Saccharomyces cerevisiae S288C: one gene and its partner. The protein of the gene in region 1 purifies or fractionates together with the protein of each later gene. This does not show direct contact. Each region holds a gene or a part of one and is shown on either strand. Other genes may lie near its edges.

Region 1 (6,835 bases):
GAAAACAAAAGAAAAGATCAAATAAGTGAGTAAATGAAATGCTGTACCTTCCAATTTCTCGAACTCTTTTGGAATTTCAGGGTATGGTGGACGATATTAATGTAAATTATGATTGCTCCCCTGCCAATTGGTATAGGATAAAGATAGACATATTAGGCATCAGAGGGGAGAAGCATTGCAACCAGATAAGATAAATCAAAGATTTTTACCTACAACTACTTATACTATTATTATACTATTATTATATTATTATTATATTATTATTATCATTACTACAACTGCTACTACTACTACTACTATTACTATTATTATTATTTGATATTTTTATTACTGCTATTATTATAATTTATTATTATTATTATTATTATTAATATTATTGCTATTATTAGTAATGTGTTAGCATTATTGCCAATATTAGTATTATACTTTCTTTCTTTTTTTTTTTAATTTTTTTCTTATATTTCTATGATTCGGCAACATGAGACCAATCCTTAGATAATTCACTTAAATAGCTTCTTCAATTTGCCGAAGAAACCAGTTTTCTTCTTCTTGGGCTCTTCTGTCGAAGAAGACAAAGGAGAAGCTGTCTGTTTCTTTGGGGCTTTTACAGTTTGTTTCTTAACCTCTTTGGCAGAAGGCTTTTTTTCTTTACTGGTTTCTGACCTCTTGACCTCTTTAGAGCCTTTTTCTTGCTTCTTTTTCTTTTCTTTTTCTTCTGACACTGCTGGTGATTTTCTACCTTCAGCTGTTTGCTCGTCAGTCAAGGGTAGCTTGGGAGCTTTGTTAACGATGGGGTCTAATGTAAAGACCTCTTCATCTTTTTTTGCCTTATTTTCTACTTTTTTGGAACCGTCTAATACACCTTCAGTGGACTCACGTTTCTCCACCAACTTAGATTGAAGAGACCCCTCCACTGGTTCAACTTTCGATGACTCAGGTATAGATATTTGTGCTTCCGGAGTTGGTAATGGTTCGGGCTCATTTATTAACGGAGTAACCGCTTCCACTTGAGGAGTAAGTTCCTGCACATTATGAGCCACTTCCTTGGTCTCAACAATCGGGTCGTCAGCTTGTGGAAGAGCAGGACTCTTTTCCGTAACTGATGATTCAACAATAGGGCCAGCAACGGGTTCTGGAACCTCTTCTTTTTTGTTAAGTCTTTCATTCAATTCCCTAGCATCAACGTCTCTAATTTCGGTAAATTCCTTGATTTCACCAGGGTTTGGGACAAGAACAGGACCTGGTCCACCAATTATACCATTTGATTGAGTTGTGTCTGCACTTTGATCGATTGGCAGAATATGGAAATTGCCCGGAGCTTCTTTGGAAACATTAGTAGGCTCCGCCAATGGAGTTTCTTCCCTAGAGGTTCCAGTAACATCTTCAGTAGTAGTTCCAGTCACCCCGTCTTCTTCTTCATTATCGTCTAAACTTTCATTTGACTTCTTGTTGTTCTTAGTACTCTTTTTCTTCAATTTAGATCTTCTTTTCTTATTGTTACGCTTGTTTTTCTTTCTATTACTTGTAGAAGGAGGACCTGCTGAACGAGGCGGTTTACCACATAATAGGCCACCTGCCTCCGGGATTCTACTGGCACCGGCAACTTCCTGCGTTTCAACTAAATCGGTAATTTGTAAGAAATTGTTTTCGATTCCTTCACTAACATGCTCCTTTTTATACGAATCACTAACGCACCAAACGCCATCCACAATAAACTTAAACTGAAACGTATCATCCTTGTTGGCTAGCTTCACGGGCATAGTAATTTCGAAATTTCCCTTGGCGGTCTTCACGAGGGGTAAAGTGCCCCTCCAGTCATCAAACGTTCCTGTTAAAATAACATCTTTTGGACCAGCAGGCCAGCTAAAAGTATAGTTGAACATGAGTTCACTACTCATTTTTATTGATAGATTAGTTTTCTTAGTGATTTTTGTATCTTTTATTTTGTAAGTACAAAAAACGTATCAGAAAATGATAAAACCTTGTTCAAATCCTTGTTTGTATTGTTTACCAGGCGATGAGATCGGGTTTCAACAATTTTAGCAACGCCACTTTTCCTAACGGGTAACACACCAAGATAAATGGCGTCAGAGCGTCTTTTTTATGCACAGAAAAACCAGTAGAACACATTAATTAATATTATAACTACATAGCATTTACTTGGGTTGAAATGGTGAAACCTTACCTGGAACTGCTTATTGAAGCATAGAAATAGGTGCACAGTGGAACCCAAAAAGTTTATCGGCAACTTTACCTTCAGTGTCTTGATAATAAGGCAAACGCTAGGGTCAATTGAAGAAGAATTTCTGTTAGGTAAATTAATAGTGTCATTGGTATTAGTAGAATATTACCCGTCGAAATAGAACCAACTATCGTCTATCGACTAATATTCATACTGCTAGTATATTATTATATCCAGTGTAAGAAGATGACTTTAAGATTGAAAAATAATCTTCATAATTTAATGGAAGCTGAAACGCAAAGATTGATAATGCAATAGGATGACGAATGACGACATAAAAAACGGAAGAAGAAATACCAGTAACATTATGTAGAATAGGAATTTCCTTTATCAATAGTCGGATCATAACGGTTGCATTAAAATTTGGGATATTGGTGAATAATTTGATAATTTTTGGCATTCTGTAATTGATAAAGCTATAACATCAAATACAGAATATATAAAAGTGTTGGAATAAAAATCAACTATCATCTACTAACTAGTATTTACGTTACTAGTATATTATCATATACGGTGTTAGAAGATGACGCAAATGATGAGAAATAGTCATCTAAATTAGTGGAAGCTGAAACGCAAGGATTGATAATGTAATAGGATCAATGAATATTAACATATAAAATGATGATAATAATATTTATAGAATTGTGTAGAATTGCAGATTCCCTTTTATGGATTCCTAAATCCTCGAGGAGAACTTCTAGTACATTCTACATACCTAATATTATTGCCTTATTAAAAATGGAATCCCAACAATTATCTCAAAATTCACCCACTCTTCAAAAAGACATTCTCCTCAAGAAATCCACAAAAAGGAATCAACAGTTACGCATAATAATATTTCTTTTCCTTCCTTCTTCTTCATATTTTGCCATTCTCCATCCAGTTGCATCTTTAAGATGCTCCCGTCTCTTTTTATGCCTACATAGTTTAATTCTTTATTTAGAACACCAACAGATACATGGGCGTGTGGTCTAGTGGTATGATTCTCGCTTTGGGCGACTTCCTGCCTAAACAGGAAGACAAAGCATGCGAGAGGCCCTGGGTTCAATTCCCAGCTCGCCCCATTATAATTTTTTCACTTTTTTGTTCTTTGCAAGAACGCGCGGTACGCAGTTATGAGATGATGTAGGCAATCTCGAGAATTGAAACTTCTGCATTACCATAGAATTCAACATCTTTTTTTGGCACATTAAAGGTGTGAATGCTACACTAATCAATATAACACGATTATGTTAATTGGTGTAAGTGGTACGAAATTTTGCGGATGCGAAGATGTTATTAACATGTTGGTTGATCATTTTCATTTTGAATTACTCAATCACCTAGATAATCCAGAGGAGATATTAGATTATGCTACGAAAAATTACACAAAAAATTCAGTTATATTCCTAGAAAAATTATCATTACTGGAGAAACTGGAAAAGAGACCATTTTTTGTTCATCTTTCTATCGACGCTCCTGTCACTACAAGGGTAGCATTATACAGGAAAACGACTCAAGCAGAAAGCTTATCATTAGAACAAATAATACAAGCCATTGATCAACATGACTTTCAGCCTGAAGGCATCAAATTAAGGGAGAAATCCCATTTGAGATTTAAAATAGTTAATGAGGACCGCAGAGGAAGGAGACAGAGCTTGATTAATAACATTACCACACAATTAAAGATTCTCGATGACAAAGAGAAACAAATGGCTCCATTAATGAGGCCTAGTTGGGATAGCTATTTTATGAAGTTAGCCACACTAGCAGCATCTCGTTCCAATTGCATGAAACGTAGAGTTGGTTGCGTGATTGTGAGAGAATGCAGAGTGATTGCTACTGGCTATAATGGGACTCCTCGACATTTAACAAATTGTTTCAATGGCGGTTGCCCACGTTGCAATGACGGTGATTCTAGAAATCTGCACACTTGCTTATGCTTACATGCAGAAGAGAATGCACTACTGGAAGCTGGCAGGGATCGTGTAGGTCAAAATGCGACCTTATACTGTGATACTTGCCCTTGCTTAACATGTTCTGTAAAGATTGTTCAAACAGGCATCAGTGAAGTAGTTTATAGCCAAAGTTATAGAATGGACGAGGAAAGTTTCAAGGTCTTGAAGAATGCGGGAATAACCGTCCGGCAATTCAGCTTTACGGAAGAACCAAGAATTGTGATGATTTAATTCATAAGTTCCTTTTCAGTTCGAACTAATGTAACATATATATAAAATACTACATTTAAAAAAAATACAGTACATTGTACAAACTAAAATCACTATAAATAGCGAATACTTTTCTTATATACTATTATTATTATACATTTGTATACACCTTTTTTCATTAATATAATCTCTAAGTGATATACGTTTTCCCTTAAAAAAACATAAAGAATTTGCTGGAAGAAAAGTGCTGCATAAACTTAAATCAAGCACAAGTTTATATATTGCAAAAACCTTGGAAAACCTAGGTTCTTTATTTCGTATTATTCTGCCCCGGTAACCCATTATGGTTTTCAGTCTCTCCATTCATCTAGCTTCAAATTGAACCAATCTCTTAGTCCTAGCCTTCAACAGGATTCTATGACCACAGTCCTTACAACGGACTGCATCAGTTCTGGATAAAGATAATTTACTAGAACATTCAGCACAAATATACTTCAAAGTTGCCGTTCTAGCTTGAGAAGTACCTGCAGCTGCGGCGTCTAAATTTGTTGGAATCTGGAACCCTTCGCGAGACATTGTTATACTTGTGGACTTTTATTCTTGGGTACGTTCTTATTAAATGTTGGTAGAATAAGTCGATGATGTGGAATACTCTTCACTTTTCTGATTCTAAAATCTATTTTAGATGTTAAAGAAATGAAAAAAAAAAAAAAAAAAATTAAAATTCAGAAAAATCATATTCTACGACCGCAGCGTTATATAACGTTACATCGGTGAGGCTAATTGTAGCCTTACCTGGTAATGTACAATGTCGTGGTCATGAGACAAATGTCAAATAGGAAGATGCAATGGAGAACAAATTTGACACACATGATTGAATCATTAAATCTACGGCAATATTTTGTTCTTATTTAGTGTCTCTTTCTCCATATCACTGCTCATATCAGGAAAAACTGTAGATTCTGACAATGTACTCGCCGGAACATTTTGATATATATAGGTGATGTAATTTCCATATGAAAAATACTAAAGACTTGTGATGAATTCATGAAATGAGTGGGGAAGAATCAGTATCCTTAGTAAGAGGTAACTAATAAAATTAAGTTATAGTATACACATTGTATATAATAGTTGAAACTACAAAATGAAAAGATCATGAGAAAAAAACAAAATAAAGAAATTAGGAAACTTAGTCGTTATAACAACACGAGGAAAAATGAATAAATAATACTGTCTTTTTACTATTTTTAACAAAAAATAATGGAAAAAATACGCCTGAGAAAACAAATAGAAAAGAATGCACCACCATTATGCCTAAGCGCTAAATGGTAACCGTAGCATAAATTGTGTTTGTACTAGTTATAGTGGTGGCGGCATCAACGGATTGAGACGGGTTAGTTAAGTAGACAGTACTATAGTAGTCATCATCATCATAAAAAACGTAACAAGTGCCATCCGAGCTGGAGACGGATATCGATTGCGTAGAAGACGATTCTAATGGCATGGATGTCGTTGCTCTAGACGTTGTATCTACGCTAGAAGAGGGTACCAGTGTAGAGGTAGTTCTTGCTATAGTGGACCCTGTTTGGGATGACTCAACTGCGGAAGTGGAAGACGATGACGCCAAAGTTAGTTGAGAGTTTCCGCTTTTTGAGCTCGATGGTGCCAAGGTAATAATAGTGGCGAAAGAAGAAGAAGAAGAAGAAGAAGAAGTTAAGGAAAGAGGGGCAGATGATGATGATGTTGAAAATGATGAGGATGATGTTTCAGAAGATGAAGATGAAGAAAGTTGGGAAGAGAAAGGTGCAGTAGATGAAACAAAAGCAGAACTAGAAGTCAAACGAAAACCTGAAGACGCAGATGGTTCGGCTGTAGCGGAAGATGTACCTGACGATTCGATACTTTGAGATGATTCGATATCGTATGTAGAGCTAGAGGATGTTGAAGAACCAGATGAAATCGTTGGACTGATAGTGGAAACAGTAGAAGTAGAAACCAATGAGTTTGTTTGAGTAGCACTAACTTGTTCTGAAGCTGACACCGTTGAAACCTCTGTTATCTTTTCAGTAGTGGAAGAAACGACGGAATTAGCTAAAGTAATCGGATATACCCTTGTAGTAGTATATGAAATCGTTTTAACCACAACCCTTGCCGGCGCAAGAGTCTTTGTGTAGACAGCATAACTGTAAACAATACCATCAGAAGTAATAAGTTTGACTGTTTCCCCATTGCTGTTGGCTTCAATTAAGGTGAATAAAAAGAATAAGATATTGAAAATTGTAGAAAAATTAAATTTCATTTCTTTGTAATTTGTTAAAGGAGTGGCTTTATTTCTACTCTGTGAAAGAGATCTGTGTTAAAAAATATTAAGGAATGACTGTGGTTAGCTCTACTGAAGAGTTACAATAAAATGTAGTAAGGAATGACTAGAGTTAGCTTAAAACCC
Region 2 (3,992 bases), on another chromosome or scaffold:
TCGGCGTCCACTTTGTAATAGCAGTGATGAGATTTGGCAATATTTTCTGCATAAACCCTGTTTCTATGGCAAAACCCAGATTGCGCACACTTCTTTAATAGATAGTCGGTAAACGCATGCGAAAAAGCGGTAAAGAAGACCAATTGGCATACGAGCCATTTCAAAAGGACCATGTTGCATACGGTTGATTCGAGACCGCTATTTTAAGATACGCAGAGCAATCAAATAACTCCAAGCAACATGTTCATTGAGTTATAGCTCTCAAGTGCCGTAGTGAGAAAATGTCGTGGTCCGGGTAAAACAAATTAAGGGTACTTGAAATGAAAAAAGAATGATAGTAGACAGAAAAGCTATTATATTATAGAAACTTATCACTTGACCGATGAAGAGGAAAGCACGTTTCCTTACAAATAAATCAGCAGTAATAGTTATAAAAATATATGTATATAAAGTGTGTGAGTGTGTGAGTGTGTGAAAGGATGTTATTAAATAGTATGTTATTATTTCTTGTCGTATCTGGAGTAGTATTTCTTTGAAATTATACCGTCCAGCGTCAAAAGACCCAGAGCGCCGGCGGTTGTTGCTAAGACTGTAGAGTTAGGTTTCCCCTTCAAGAATCTGGCGTTGTGGTTCGCATACCCGTTACATAAATAACATACCACTGAAGAATGCAGCAACAAGTTGACCAAGACAACGGGATTCTGAAGTTCTAAAAAGCATACTTTGGCAAAGTCTTGCGTCTTACTGACAAAAGCTTGGAGGTAGCCGCAAGCGACTGCTGATGCACTATTTAACCGTGCCTTCAGATATTCGATAGCGCATTCCTTCTTATTGTTGTGGTGGTGACCGTCTTCAGAGTCAGAATTTGGGCTAGCGTTACTGTCGTGTTTAGCACTGGGGAAAAGAAAGATGGTCATAGATGATATACGTTAGTCAAAAGAGAACCGGGAGAAAAGATTAGGCGATACGTTTCAGATATTAGTGTACATACGTTGCAGACATATTATGAGATGCTGGAGGTAGATGTTATGTTTCTAATTGTTGGAATAGGGTTACGTCGGCGGTTTCGGTTGAAGTGGGCACATTGATCGACACTTTATATACGCAGGGACGATTAACGGGAGAGGAGGTAGCGGCGGCGTCATTGGCCGCTGGCCCGGGGTAGTAGGGCAGGGAAAGGGGACGGTGAAAAAATAAAACGTAAGTGGGACAGCAGAGATTTGAGGAGTTGAGGCAAGAACAGAGGAGAGAACGAGAAAGCGGATAAGCAACAAAGGAAAAGGAAACAAGTAAAAAAAAAAAAAGAGACTAGCATGAGAAACGAATTATACCAGTTATGGTGTGTGGCGAGTGCAGCAAGAGGGGTAGCCAAGAGCTCATTCGTAAGGGCCAATTCGGCCATGTGTGAGTACGTGCGCACGTCCAACGTCTTGAGTCGCTGGACTCGGGACAGGCAATGGGAAGCAGCTAAGGCCCTATCACAACGGGTCAAGAAAGAGTATGCCGCCAATTAGTGCACACACATACATATATTTTATATACTTACATATTTGGTTGCGTGGTATATAGAATCTCTCCTTTCGCTTCATGAATGAACTCATTCATGCGAAGTCAAAGGAAAAAAAAAATAAAAAAATAAAAGAGCGAACGGGAAGACGAGAGAAACATCAAGCGACCAAAGTAAAAGTCAAGAACGACTCCACAAGTGCGAGGGTCGCGACGTCTCTAACTTTAAAAACAGGCGTCAACCATCAAGTCCGTTTCTTGATGCCGCCGGCATTCTTCAAATCCCTCCAAAAAAAACGCCTCTATGACATAGGCGGTTAATAAAACTGGCCTTGAAACAACAGATGCAGTCATGGCTCTTCTCTTTTCCCAGCAAACGCCTTCCATTGCCTCCTTTTTTTCTCTTCCAGAACTCTCTCAGCAGTATTCTCACAAACACATCTCCTCCCCTTTAGCAAACCTCCATTTATATCCTGCGAGAAGAGCTCCTTCTCCTCAATGAGAAAATAAGCACAAAATAAACTGGGAAAAAAAATATAGTAAAAGACGCCAGCACGTTAACAATGGAACACTCTTATTGTAGACCAACCCCACCCTACACCCCCTCAAACCGAGGACACTTCAAAAGGAAAATCAACAACTTTGGCCGATACTTGGGGGATAAGCAAGCTTATCCTATTACATCAAAAAAAGAATCGTAAGACACCTTTCCTTGCAAACCAAAAATCATAACAAAGTCGAAAAACTTCCTCTTGCAGCGCCACCAGAAAAAGAAGACGAGCGAAGAAATCAACAATAAGAGCGCCCCATCCGCACTAGCACCCCATACCATAAATATTATCTCCCAACCTACTATAGCACCATTTCTTCCCATCGATAAAGAAAAACCAAATCCCGCGTTGGACATAAACGGCTCGGAAAGACAGGGAAGAGTATGAAGCAAAAAGCCAAACTAAGGGAGAAACAGAAAGCTAAAAAAAAGAAAATAGAAAACAACCAGAAGAAAACAAAAACAATAACCTTGAGCAACCGTCGTCTCAAAAACCAATTTCGAAAAACCATCATAAAAACGCCTTATGAAGAAACCATGAGCGAAGAAAAATAGCAGCAAAAAGTAGTGAGACCTGACATTAGCGGAAAACAACTTGCTTAAAAAGTCTCTTCCCGTCCATTTTATTATTTTGGGTGCCAAAAAATGTGTATTGTAACAAATTAAAAGGTAATGAGCCTCATTGAGGTCATTTCAGTTGTTACACTGAAAAGAACAGATACTACACTTGATCTAAGCCAAAAGGCAAAGAGATTCGTGGGGATTTAAAAAAAAAACAAGTAGAAACAAAATGAATAAATCTGATAACAAGTAAAGTACTCATCGATGAAAAAATGAATGTAGAGCCCTTTTTATATGTTTTCACCGAGTGGCCCATCGGAAACGGCAAAAAAAAAAAAAGAAAGAAAAAAGAAAAGAAACATAGAGCGTTGCTAGGTTTTTTTTGCCACCCACACCCATACACCCCATTACTTTGTCTGCAGCATCGTTATACACGTAGTGAAAGTGTGCAGGCCTCGGCGGTTAAAAAAATTTGAGCAGAAAAGCATGTTATTTAATACATGTAATATTTGTCTATGAAGCTTCGCTATCCTGCTGCAACTGCTGAGCAAGTTGTTGCCGGCGCAATTCTTTGTATCTCTCGTCCTCTGCAGACCCGACCCGCTGCAGAAATTCTTGCCGGGCCAAGAACCCATCCTTGTTGTGCAGCACCAATTCGTCGTTAAGTCCAGCACGGTCTACATAACTAGCCCAGTCCAGCTGAGATTTTTCTAATGTCGTTAGCTTGGGTCGTAGCCCGCCAGAAATGATCTGCTCCAACAATGGAGGCCTTTTCAGTGGCCGTCGCAAGTGTTGCCGGCTTTCATTGGACTTGGTCCTAACTGCTTTTTCCAGTTGAACAGGAGCAGCAGGCGCCTGCTGCTTAAATTTCAAACTGTTTAGATATTCTTGACCCTCCGCACTGCTGCGTGAAACCCATTTTTTCTCATGGACAGTTTCACCAGCAAACTTGTAGTTTCTTTCGATGAGGATTTTGTCCTCCTGTTGCGCGGCCGTTGTCGACCTAGCCTCCTTGGAACCGTCGAGAACAGAGCCGACTTTCCCTGAACTGCTCAAAAGACGGTTCTTACTAGCTTCCTGTAGCTCCTCCCAGATGCTGTTTACTTTTGCAGGGATCGATTCAACAGTTAACGATTCATACTTATGTGTTTTCGCATATTCTTCCTCAGCTTGCCGAGCTCTTCTAGTCTTGATCAGTCCGCCGCTCTCGCTCTCTATACGCGAATAGTCCACTTTATTTCTACCCTTATCTCTGTTCACACCGTCATCATAGTCGTCACCGCCATCGCTGGCATCACTATCGTCGCTACCACCACCTAATTTATCTTTTTCAGGCTGGAAGTCCTCGTCCTCCTCTTCTATGTAGCCGTCCTCG

Evidence for each region. Proteins that work in one complex are often made in the same cells at the same time.
Region 2: the proteins of CRP1 (region 1) and OM14 purify together in Saccharomyces cerevisiae (affinity purification with mass spectrometry, with the first as the bait; one large-scale study listed by BioGRID). This does not show direct contact.

What each region holds. Positions count from the first base shown.
Region 1 is NC_001140.6:385,363-392,197, reverse strand, and holds CRP1 (Crp1p), read right to left. Parts: upstream 1,899-6,835; coding exon 501-1,898; downstream 1-500. Other genes in the region: DCD1 (deoxycytidine monophosphate deaminase), read left to right, coding at 3,472-4,410; DNA-directed RNA polymerase core subunit RPC10, read right to left, coding at 4,753-4,965; DSE2 (Dse2p), read right to left, coding at 5,711-6,688.
Region 2 is NC_001134.8:679,049-683,040, forward strand, and holds OM14 (Om14p), read right to left. Parts: upstream 1,003-3,992; coding exon 992-1,002; intron 895-991; coding exon 501-894; downstream 1-500. Other genes in the region: glucan 1,3-alpha-glucosidase ROT2, read right to left, coding at 1-173; COQ21 (Coq21p), read left to right, coding at 1,314-1,514; SWC5 (Swc5p), read right to left, coding at 3,131-3,992.